Caenorhabditis elegans: one gene and its partner. The protein of the gene in region 1 interacts with the protein of each later gene in a pairwise test. Each region holds a gene or a part of one and is shown in the gene's direction. Other genes may lie near its edges.

Evidence for each region.
Region 2: the proteins of pbs-6 (region 1) and cyk-3 interact in a two-hybrid assay, tested with the Caenorhabditis elegans proteins (one large-scale study listed by BioGRID).

The regions. Positions count from the first base shown.
Region 1 is NC_003281.10:8,242,565-8,245,801, reverse strand, and holds pbs-6 (Proteasome subunit beta type-1), read left to right. Parts: upstream 1-1,709; coding exon 1,710-1,975; intron 1,976-2,020; coding exon 2,021-2,414; intron 2,415-2,462; coding exon 2,463-2,579; 3' UTR 2,580-2,680; downstream 2,681-3,237. Other genes in the region: cids-1 (CID domain-containing protein 1), read right to left, coding at 178-276, 325-472, 525-769, 817-1,000, 1,043-1,176, 1,220-1,357; Putative zinc finger protein C02F5.12, read left to right, coding at 2,933-3,016. UniProt on the Caenorhabditis elegans protein: Non-catalytic component of the proteasome, a multicatalytic proteinase complex which is characterized by its ability to cleave peptides with Arg, Phe, Tyr, Leu, and Glu adjacent to the leaving group at neutral or slightly basic pH.
Region 2 is NC_003281.10:6,018,224-6,025,181, forward strand, and holds cyk-3 (Ubiquitin carboxyl-terminal hydrolase cyk-3), read left to right. Parts: upstream 1-1,935; 5' UTR 1,936-1,988; coding exon 1,989-2,061; intron 2,062-2,108; coding exon 2,109-2,179; intron 2,180-2,219; coding exon 2,220-2,373; intron 2,374-2,421; coding exon 2,422-2,538; intron 2,539-2,587; coding exon 2,588-2,824; intron 2,825-2,870; coding exon 2,871-3,135; intron 3,136-3,181; coding exon 3,182-3,344; intron 3,345-3,390; coding exon 3,391-3,994; intron 3,995-4,109; coding exon 4,110-4,360; intron 4,361-4,407; coding exon 4,408-4,810; intron 4,811-4,854; coding exon 4,855-5,738; intron 5,739-5,785; coding exon 5,786-5,935; intron 5,936-5,984; coding exon 5,985-6,077; intron 6,078-6,124; coding exon 6,125-6,196; 3' UTR 6,197-6,436; downstream 6,437-6,958. Other genes in the region: npp-10 (Nuclear pore complex protein Nup98), read right to left, coding at 1-40, 86-312, 359-814, 863-1,063, 1,112-1,325; tbx-7 (Putative T-box protein 7), read right to left, coding at 6,867-6,958. UniProt on the Caenorhabditis elegans protein: Ubiquitin-protein hydrolase which cleaves ubiquitin from ubiquitinated proteins. Plays a role in embryo osmoregulation.

The DNA.
Region 1 (3,237 bases):
GAATTTTAGAAAAAATAAATTCATTTAAGGTGGTTCAGAAGAAAAACGTATAAAGCACTTATGTGGTAATGGTGATCACGATTGTAAAAGATCAAAGTGAACAAAAATTATACAACAATGGGGGTACAGTAAAAGCTACTGAGATCGTAAAGTTATAATTATGACGTAGTATGATACTTATTTTTTCCTCTTCTCGAACAAAGCTTCAAGTGTTGGCAATGGTGCATTTGGCATCTCAGCAGCCAAATCTGGCAACGATTCGAATGTTTTTTCAACCTGAAATTCAATTCAAGTCTGCAAAAACTGATTTTCTAGTTTTCAAACCTCTAACAAATCTGCCTTGATTCGATCTTCTCTACGCTTAACTTCTCTGCACAATTTCTCGTGATGTTCAATGCTCATTCTAACATTTTCTATAAGCATATTCAAGTTCGATTCGAGAGTTTCGCGTTCATTTGTCTCGTTTTTCAGCCTGAAAGCATAAGTTAATGTACAAAATCAATTCACAAAAGTTTCAATCAAACCTTTTAACATATTCCTCCAGCATCGGAAGAGCTTCTTCATTTTGGACCAACAGAGACTGTGCTTCTTGCGAACTTCGAACTGACTGCAACTTTTCTGGGCACGAAATATTATCCGGATATTTTGAAAGTTCTGTGCGAATTTCTCTTTCCGTGCTCGGCGGGTTTTGAAGGCGCTTCAAACTGAGCAAAACATCTTGTGCATTCTTTTTCGCTTCTTCAACGACGAACTGACTAGGTTGAGCGACCTTAAGCTCATTTTGGCATTCTTTTGGAATTTATTAAATTCACACACCTTTCCATGTTCCTTGTTCGCAACTGCGGGTGTTGGGAAGCTTCCAGATAGCTTAACTTGTTGATGAACTTCATGAAGCCGTTTGCATTGTGATGGAGTGAATATCTGACGATCTTTCCATACATTGATCAGTTTACCAATTGCATGTTCCACTTCTTTTGCATTTTTCAACTCGATTGCATGCCTGAAATTAATTTTGAGATTAGACGTTTGAAAATGCCAATACCTGAAAGAACTTTCTATTGCGGGAAAAAATTCGTCCTTGAATTGTGGGCAAGTCTTTCTCGCATTTTGGCTTACATCATTCGCCACATAAAGAAGATTTACAATTTTTGAGCCGTGTGTTTCTTTCTTTACTGTCTGAAATACAACACTAAAAAATGATACAATATGAATAAAATACCTTTAGCCAAACTCGAATGATCAATTCCCGATTGCTATGATTTTGCAAAAGCCAGGCAGAAGTCGTCTGAATTGAGGAAGGGTGGTTTGATAAATTTGTTAACTTCTGTCGCAAAGTTTGCTCTGTGAAATCTGCCATCTGAAATATCAATTATTGAAAAAAAGAAATCACAAAAATTTTAATCAGAAATGTAGATAAAGCGATGAATTGTCCTCAAAAATACCTTGGAAAAATGAATTTTCATTCAAAAAAGAGAGGAAAACGCGTTTCAATAAATTTCAGCAAAGTGTCGTATAGTTCGATGTGCGATGTGCATTTGAACGCGCAGAAAACTGCGGACTAAACATTGTAAATGACGATGTCTCTCATTGTCAGCATTTCCTGTTATGTTGAATTCTCAAATTTCGAGCATTTGTTTTCTGTATTAATTGAATTTTGTCATATTGAATATTTATATTGTTTCAACTAAATAAGTATACGCCTTTTTCAGATGACAAGCTTCACTGGAATCACGGCTGTCGCCAACGCCACCAATGAAATGGCAATGTTCAAGCAGGCAATGAAGGAAGTTGCAGCTCATCCAGAGTGGATGAGTTCCAGACAAATTGAGCGTCAACGCTGGAACCCGTATTCAATGGAGGGAGGATCAACCTGTGCCATTTCTGGGGAGAACTTTGCCATCGTGGCAAGTGATACTAGAATGACCCAAAACGACATCAACATTCTTACACGTGACGCAGAGAAGATTCAAATTTTGTAAGCCAGTATTTGTCTTTGTTTTAATAATAATTCTTAATTCAGGAATGATAACATCATCCTCACCACCTCTGGATTCTATGGAGATGTCCTCCAATTGAAGAAAGTTCTCCAATCTCGTCTCCACAAGTACCGCTTCGATTATCGCTCTGACATGTCTGTGGATCTTTGCGCAGAACTTCTCTCCCGCAACCTCTATTACCGTCGGTTCTTCCCATACTACACTGGAGCTATTCTTGCCGGAATTGACGAGCACGGAAAAGGGGCCGTGTTCAGTTACGACCCAATCGGATGTATCGAGCGTCTTGGATACTCAGCCAGTGGAGCCGCTGAACCAATGATCATTCCATTCTTGGATTGTCAAATCGGGCACGTTACGCTCTCTGAAGGATATGAGCGTCCGGAACTCACATTGGACAGAGCCATCTCATTGATGAAGGTATAATTGAATTTCGTAATTTTAACCTAATTCATTTATTTTTTCTAGGATTCGTTCCGTGGTGCTGCTGAGCGTGAAATCTCTACTGGAGACAAAATTCACTTGGTCATCGCTGAAGCCGGAAAGCCAGTCGTCGTAAAGTTCCTGCCACTTCGTGAGGATTAATTATTGCAGTATCTATCTCATTTTATTTTAACTTATTCGTATCCTCTTCCCCTCTGAAATTGTTTTACCATCCCGGTAATCTGATAAATATTCCTCCACTTATATGTTGTAGTCTACAACATGACTACATTTCGGCGTCCAACGCAAACTACAAAATAGAGAGAAAAATGCAGAGAGCGAAAACACACAGGGCAAGAACGCACGAGTGAGACACAAGATATAATGCAAAAGAAGGAGTGAGTCGGCGCTGCTTAGAACCGTCTGCGTTTCGAGTCTCTTACTTTGTGGTCTGCCCAGCTGTGTCATTGATTCATTCCTGCTTTGCAACTCGACAAGTTGGTATTTACTGAAAAATGTCAACTTATATTCAAGTTAACATCTACAATCAAACTTTGGAAGTTCTCAAAATGCGAGGACTCGATTTGCAATCTATTTTGGTAGGTCAAGCTTTTGGCAACATTTAGCTTCTAATTATATAAATATTCCCGAGATTAGAAAAACTTGAGTAATAATTATTTTGGCAATAAAAATAATATGACAGGTTATTCTTTATGTAATGGTCGATCAAAAATCATAAATACTGTATTTTATAAAATTGTAATTTTGGAATGATATTACTGTAGGAAACAACTCTAAATTAGGAATAGTACTTTTAAGC
Region 2 (6,958 bases), 2.2 Mb from region 1:
CGGTGTTTGCAGCAGCCGGCTGACCGAAAGCATTTGTCGCCTGAAAATTAATAAAATATTGAAATTCTAGGATATCTTAACTCACCGCTGGGGCACCTCCGAAACTGAATCCACTCGATTGTTGCTGTGGTTGTTGCTGAGCTTGGCCGAAGAGTCCGGTACCAGTCGTCCCCGTGTTGCCGAACAGGGACCCAGATTGATTTTGATTCTGTGTATTCCCGAACAACGATCCACCAGTATTCGTCTGTGGTTGTTGATTGCCGAAAAGAGACGATCCAGTTGTCTGACCGAATGTTGAAGCTCCTGTTGTAGCTAAGTTTAAGGTTAAAAATTGTGTTGATGCTAGATTTATTCTTACCTGTAGATCCGAACAGTGACGAGCCCGCTGGTTTAGCTCCGAAAAGAGATCCACTTGCAGCAGACGTGTTGGCGTTGTTGTTACCGAACAATGAACTTCCAGTGTTTGCTGTGCTCGTGTTCCCACCAAATGGAGATGACGTCGAAGCTCCCCCGAACAGAGAAGTCTTCTGTTGAGCATTACTTGATCCAAAAAGCCCACTGCTTCCAGCTTGGTTTGTTGTGTTGGATGCTCCAAAAAGCCCACCGCCAGTGGAAGTCGTTCCTGTTCCGGGAGCCTTTCTATTTGCAATGTAATCCTCCACTCGGAGCTCTTCAATACTCTTTCCATCGTACTTCGACATTGCAGAAATGCACATGTGCTTCGTGGAAATTGTCTGAGTTGTCCCATTTCTCATCATAGTATCAGAACTGATCGGTGGCTCAAACTTAACAGTGGTTCCAGATACGGTCGATGCTGAAGCTGATACAAGATTAATTTATTTATCGAAAATCAATTGTTTACCTCCAAAGAGACCTCCACCAGATGGTGCATTATTATTGGAACCAAAAATGCTGCTGGTTCCAGTATTGTTAGCGTTGTTACCGAATAGGGAACTGCTTGCGGGAGCTGCTGAAGAAGTTGACCCAAAGATACTTCTGTTGGCATTGTTCTGCCCTCCACCGAACAATGAACTCTGGTTGTTCTGAGGCTGCTGCGGACTTCCTAAAATATTAAAATAAATCAAACGCATACAATTATTGATCAAAATACCGAATATGCTGGAAGTGTTGCTGGCCGCTCCGAAGATTGATCCTGCCGGCTTGTTCTGTGCCGCCCCGAAAAGGCCAGTAGTTCCACTGTTATTGGCTGGCTGACCAAACAATCCTTTGTTTTGATTGTTCTGGTTGTTTTGTCCAAATAGACCGCTCCCAGAGCTGCCACCGCCAAAACTCGATGAGCCGAATGATTTGTTCTGGCCGAACATTTAGCTGAAACTTGCAATTGATGAGACGGTTATAGATGAAGCGATGAGCAAGTAATAATTTGCAGTGAATGAAAGGCGGTTGTCATGAACATTCTGCTAAGAGCTGTCACAAGTTTTCATACAACCAAAAAGATAGCATTTACTTGAAAATGTACTTTAGGATTTCCAAATCGGAATTACTCTACACTCAAATTGCACGCTAATGCGACTAGACGGACATTGATTGATTGATCAGGTTACAGGTACATATTTATGACTGAAAATGTGCAAGAATAACACAAAAAATGGGAGAACAACTTCTACAACCAAACTCGAGATGAAAAAATGAGCGAAATGATTTCGAATGCAAAAATTTTTTCGAAGTGATTCTGAAATCGCAACAGAGCGAGTTTGCATTATACACCCTGCGTCTCTTAAGTTCACACACTGTCTCACTGCGCGAGGGTTTTTGACAGTTCTCGACAAGTCTTTTATTTTTTCCCGCAATTCGTGTTTTTTCGTGGGGTTTATTGGAATAAACTGTTTTCCATAATCGTTCTAAAGTCGGTCTCCACTGAAAAACTTTTACAAATGCTTTTCTTTTCAAATAAATTGATTTTTACATTTTTTCTTTCAGATTCGGCAAGAAAATCTGGTTCAGATGCTCAAATGCCATAATCCGAAATGGGTAACACGTTAACTGGACGTTCGAACGCTATCGCACCGATTATCAGTGCGGAAGATGCTAAAACTTATAGTGAGTTTCAGGGATGTTACAAAACAAACATAAACTCAAATTTTTAGTATCGGACGAGGAGTATCGACGAATTCGCCAAGCTTTCCAACGCTTCAAAAATGGATGCATTAATTATGACGTAACTGTTTTTAATTATTTTTTTAACTTCACCATTTAAGGAATTCTGCTATCATGTTCTCGGAGGCGCGCAGATACCAGAAGAAAAACGACGCCTGCTGTTCAGCTTCTTCTCTCATGGCGCTGAAACCATTTCCTTTGACAATTTGCTTTCATCTCTTGTTGGATTGTGTAGAGTAGAAGAAGTACAATCGAGTCAGTCAAGAAACATTTCAGAAATAATATTAAATTATTTATTTTCAGGGTTTATCGAAGAATATCACGAGTTCGCGTCATGGGGATTGAGTCCTCCTAAGCTTACGATTCCGCTCAATGATTCCTATATCTCATTTTACGAAGTGATGTCTTATGTGACGCATTGTAAGATTTAAATTATCTTGATTTCCGTATTTCAAAAACCATTTTTCAGTATCCGTGAACGAGGTTATCGAGTTAGAGAAAGTGTTCGCCACGATCAGTGATCGAGCTGTCTGCAAACTGAATGAAGAGAAGTGGAAACAAGCATTGGGTGGATGCTTCCCGGATAGTTATGCTGAGAGATTATTCGCTGTTTTCGATGAGAATCGAGATGGTCAAATTGACTTCAGAGAGCTCGTTTGTACACTTTCGGCTCTTTGTCGTGGACCTCTACCAGGGAGAATTTCTCGTGAGTTTTTAAGAAATTATTTTGAGAAACTAAAAAGTTGTTTTAGAGTTGGCACGAATCTGGGACGTCGACTGTGACAAACTTCTGTCTGACGAAGAACTTTCTAACATGTACAAAGATCTTAATGTCCCAGAAGAACATCAGACTGTCACAAAATCATCGAATGGGAAATCTGCTCTCGTTGATTTTGGAATATGGGCACAGGAAAACGAAAAATATGTCAATGAATATTATTCTATGGCTCTTCAAATCGGACACATTTGTCTCGGATTGAGACCAGAGTCACGGAAAATGGAATTACAAATTGTGAAGTTAGTGTAGCTTTCAATTCTCAGTTTAAATAACTTTGAATTTCAGCGAATTTGAAAAACGTGCCTCTGAGCTTCCACTTTCCGAGTGGAACATTGTAGCTTCAGGATGGCATGCTGAGCTCAGATCCTTCCTGGAAGCAGATAAAAATCCGAATCCAATCGATAATTCTGGTATCAAGGGAACAAGAGAAGATAGCTGGACCAGCAAGGTTTGACTTTCTAGTCCGGAAAAGTAAAGAATTAATTAATTTTCAGGTTGCTTGCATTTCAGCTGAATCAGCTCGTCTGAAACCCGATCTTATTCCATCTGACTACATCCGAGTGCCTGTTCCACTTTGGAGAGCATGGCTCCGATGGCACGGATGTGCACTGACAGTAGATTCACAATTCACAAGAAAGTATCTGGATGGTGAATTCTTTGAAGACAACAAGCCCGCTCTTGAACTGTATCCACTCGAAATTCTCCTTCTGGGCCATGATCGTAAGAAGAGCCAGGATGGTACAGAAAACACTCCAAGATCCTTGACATCCTGGGCGTGTGCTCAAGTATCACGAAGTATGACTGTGGATGAGCTTCTCGCGCTGTGCAAGACAGAACTTCGACTCGGAGATGGAGACGCAAGGCTTTGGCAAGTTGTGAAGGAGAATGAAGAAGGAAATGTACTTTTGGACGATGGAGCACAAAATCTACATCAATTATACTCGTCACTAGGGAAAACGAAAAAAGTGAATAAAATGAAGCTTTTACTGGAAGTACGAGAAAGAGGAACAGGAGTGTGGCCAGAAGAATTACGAGCATCTCTTTCCGGGAAACAAATCACTGCTGCTTCTACTTTATCCTCGAATGCACAATTGTCAGGTAAATCTTTTATTCGACTTTATTAAAAGCACATAAATAGTTTATGTTTTTTTTCTCAAAAAACAAAAAAATCGCAATTATCAAAAAGCTCTCATTGTCAATCAATTCCCATAAGATTCTTCAGGTCGCCCAGGAGCAGTTGGTCTTGTTAACTACGGTAACTTCTGTTACCGTAACGCCGGAATCCAGTGTCTTGCGAGAGTTTCCCCACTCACTCAATATTTTTTGGATGAGGATAATTTGGATGCTATCAAAAGAGGGAACTTGAGGCGAGGAGATGCGGCAGAGACGACAATTGAGTATGCGAAACTGCTCAGAGAAATGTGGGCAGCGAAGAAGAAAAATATTGCTCCGAATGATTTTAATGTGAGTTTTGTTATTATAAGTTGAAAATGAATTATTCAAATTTATAGGATGCTATTCGATTGAGCTCGGATATGTTTGAATGTAGTGAGCAGCATGATTGTCAAGAATTTGTAGCATTCTTGCTGGATCAGCTTCACACTTCAATGTATGAATCTAACAAAAGTCTTCATCCATCTCCCGAAGAATCTGAAGGAACCGATTCAAATAAATTGTCGGATTCAAGCAAAAAGAAAGAAGCTGATAAAGAAGAAGCTGATGAAGAAAAAGCTGAAAGATCATGGACGGAGTACGAAAAACAAAATGAGTCACTCGTTACACAGCTCTTCACTGGCCAACTCCGTTCCCGCCTAATTTGCCGAACTTGTCAATCGAGCTCGAGTGTCTTCGAGCCATTCACATCGTTGTCGTTGCCAATTGGATTTGAAGATGTTGATTTGTATCAAGTTATTGGTAAGAATAACACAATTTGGTTCACCAAAATATGGAAATTTCAGTTGTACATAGAGACGGGCGAATCCCGCGTCGCTATGGTTTCCGATTGTCACGTGACTCGAAGGTTGGAAATCTCCGGGAAGTGGTTGCCGTATCAAGTGGAATCTCGATGTCACATCTAACGATTCAGTGTATGTCCAGTAAAGGAACGCTTATGAGCCGATCCCCAAATCATCGAAGTTCAAACTTACGCGATGAGCTGCCGCTGAGTTCATTCCCTTCTGGAGCAAGACTTTACGCTTTAGAGCTACCAGAAAGTACAGGTGAAGATCAGTGGCGAGTTGCGATGCATAGGAAGCTTCAGTATAACCATGAACCTTACATTCTTGGTTCAACTGCCGGATTCATAGTATCTCGTTTTGGACTTCCTTTGATCGTTGGATTGGACGAAGAAGTAACTGGAAAGAAATTATACGAAGATGTAATGTATCAAATGCATCGATTTATGGAACACTCTGTGAATTCCTCCTCGAGTAGAGCTCATGATCCATGTGAAGATGAGAATTCAGGATATCCATTCACTTTATGTTTGGTTGATCCGAATTATGAATGGTGTGGGCAATGCCCGGCTCTCCGATTCTGCAGAGGATGTCCAATCCGTCCAGATGAGAGCAAAGTATTCATTCCTGCCAACTGTCCGATTGCAGTGGATTGGCTTCCAATCGCTCTCTACCTTCGATACAATCACTCGCAGGAGCAAGCATGTGAAGATGATCCTTCAGTTGCCGAAACTTGGTCAAGGCACTTTGCTCCAAGCTCATTGGAGCACTGCATTGAGAAGTTCTCATGCCCTGAGACACTTGACGCAGCAATTCAATGTGACCGTTGTGAGAAGAAGACGATGAGAGACAAAGTGATGACTATTTGGAAGCTTCCGAAGTACTTGGTGAGTGGCTATGGCGCAATTTTTATTTAAAATTATTAAAATTTCAGATAATTCATCTCAAACGGTTCGAATTTCTCCGCGAACAAGGTCGAATGGGAAAGTGCAAAAGAACGGTGAATTTCCCGTTGAAGCACTTCGATCCAGCTCCATTTGTTGACAAGCCCGACGGAAATACATATGAATGCATCGCACTCGCTGTAAGAAACTTATACAAACTTAAATTTCTTCAAAAATTTATGTTTTAAGAATCACTATGGACAACTATCCTGTGGACATTTCATAGCCTATGCAAAGAGCAATGAGGACAAATGGCTTCTGTTGAATGACTGTTCGGTTCGAGTAAGTTCAAGGTTTTTATTATAATCAATTAGTGGAAAAAATTTCAGGAAGTATCTGAAGAAGAAGTTGACAAACAAGGCGCATATCTTCTGTTCTACGAGAGAAAAGATGTCAAATAATAAATAAATCTCCATTTGCTACAAAACTTTAAGCTCAAACTACCTGGCCATCTATCTAAGAATTCTAATGACAAATATCGCTTGATTCTATTCGCTTTCTGGTTGTTATTCTTCAAATGTTTACTGTAAATATTTATTTATTTCAATTTATGTGCTAGTCACCTTTTCCCGTACAGTTTCCATAATTTTCCAATGCTTCACTTCTTTCTACTACCGGATGAACTTTTTTTAATTGTTGTGTGTTATGTACTTCTCCCTTCTTCGTTATATCTTCAGAAATTTCGGTCTTTTTCTCAATTCCAGAGAAAAGGTGGCGCAATAGTTTGGGTGTGATTTAATTTGCCAGTCGATTCACGGAAACTTCGAAAAAAAATCGTTGCAAGAAAAAAATTGCAAGATGCTAAACTTTCGATTATAAAAACTGCACTGAAAACTTTAATCTGAAGCTTTTGGGTTACTGTAGTTGACTCTGTAGTGTCTGGATTTTAACAAATAAGAAATCGTTTAATTGTGTGGATCCTGTAGAAAGAATCGTAATTTTGCATTAAAAAATGTATTGCTTGAAACATTGGAAATTCTGAGTGGTTATCACCCGTTAATACACAGAAATATTAGAAAAAAACAGAAAATTATAGGAATTGAGATCAATAGAATAAATAAAAGCAAAATTTCAAGAACTTCCTAACAAATCAACAACTCCAAATCCACTTTTTCTCTCCGAAGAAGATTTTTGATTAGTGATAGGAATTTGAACTATTGTTG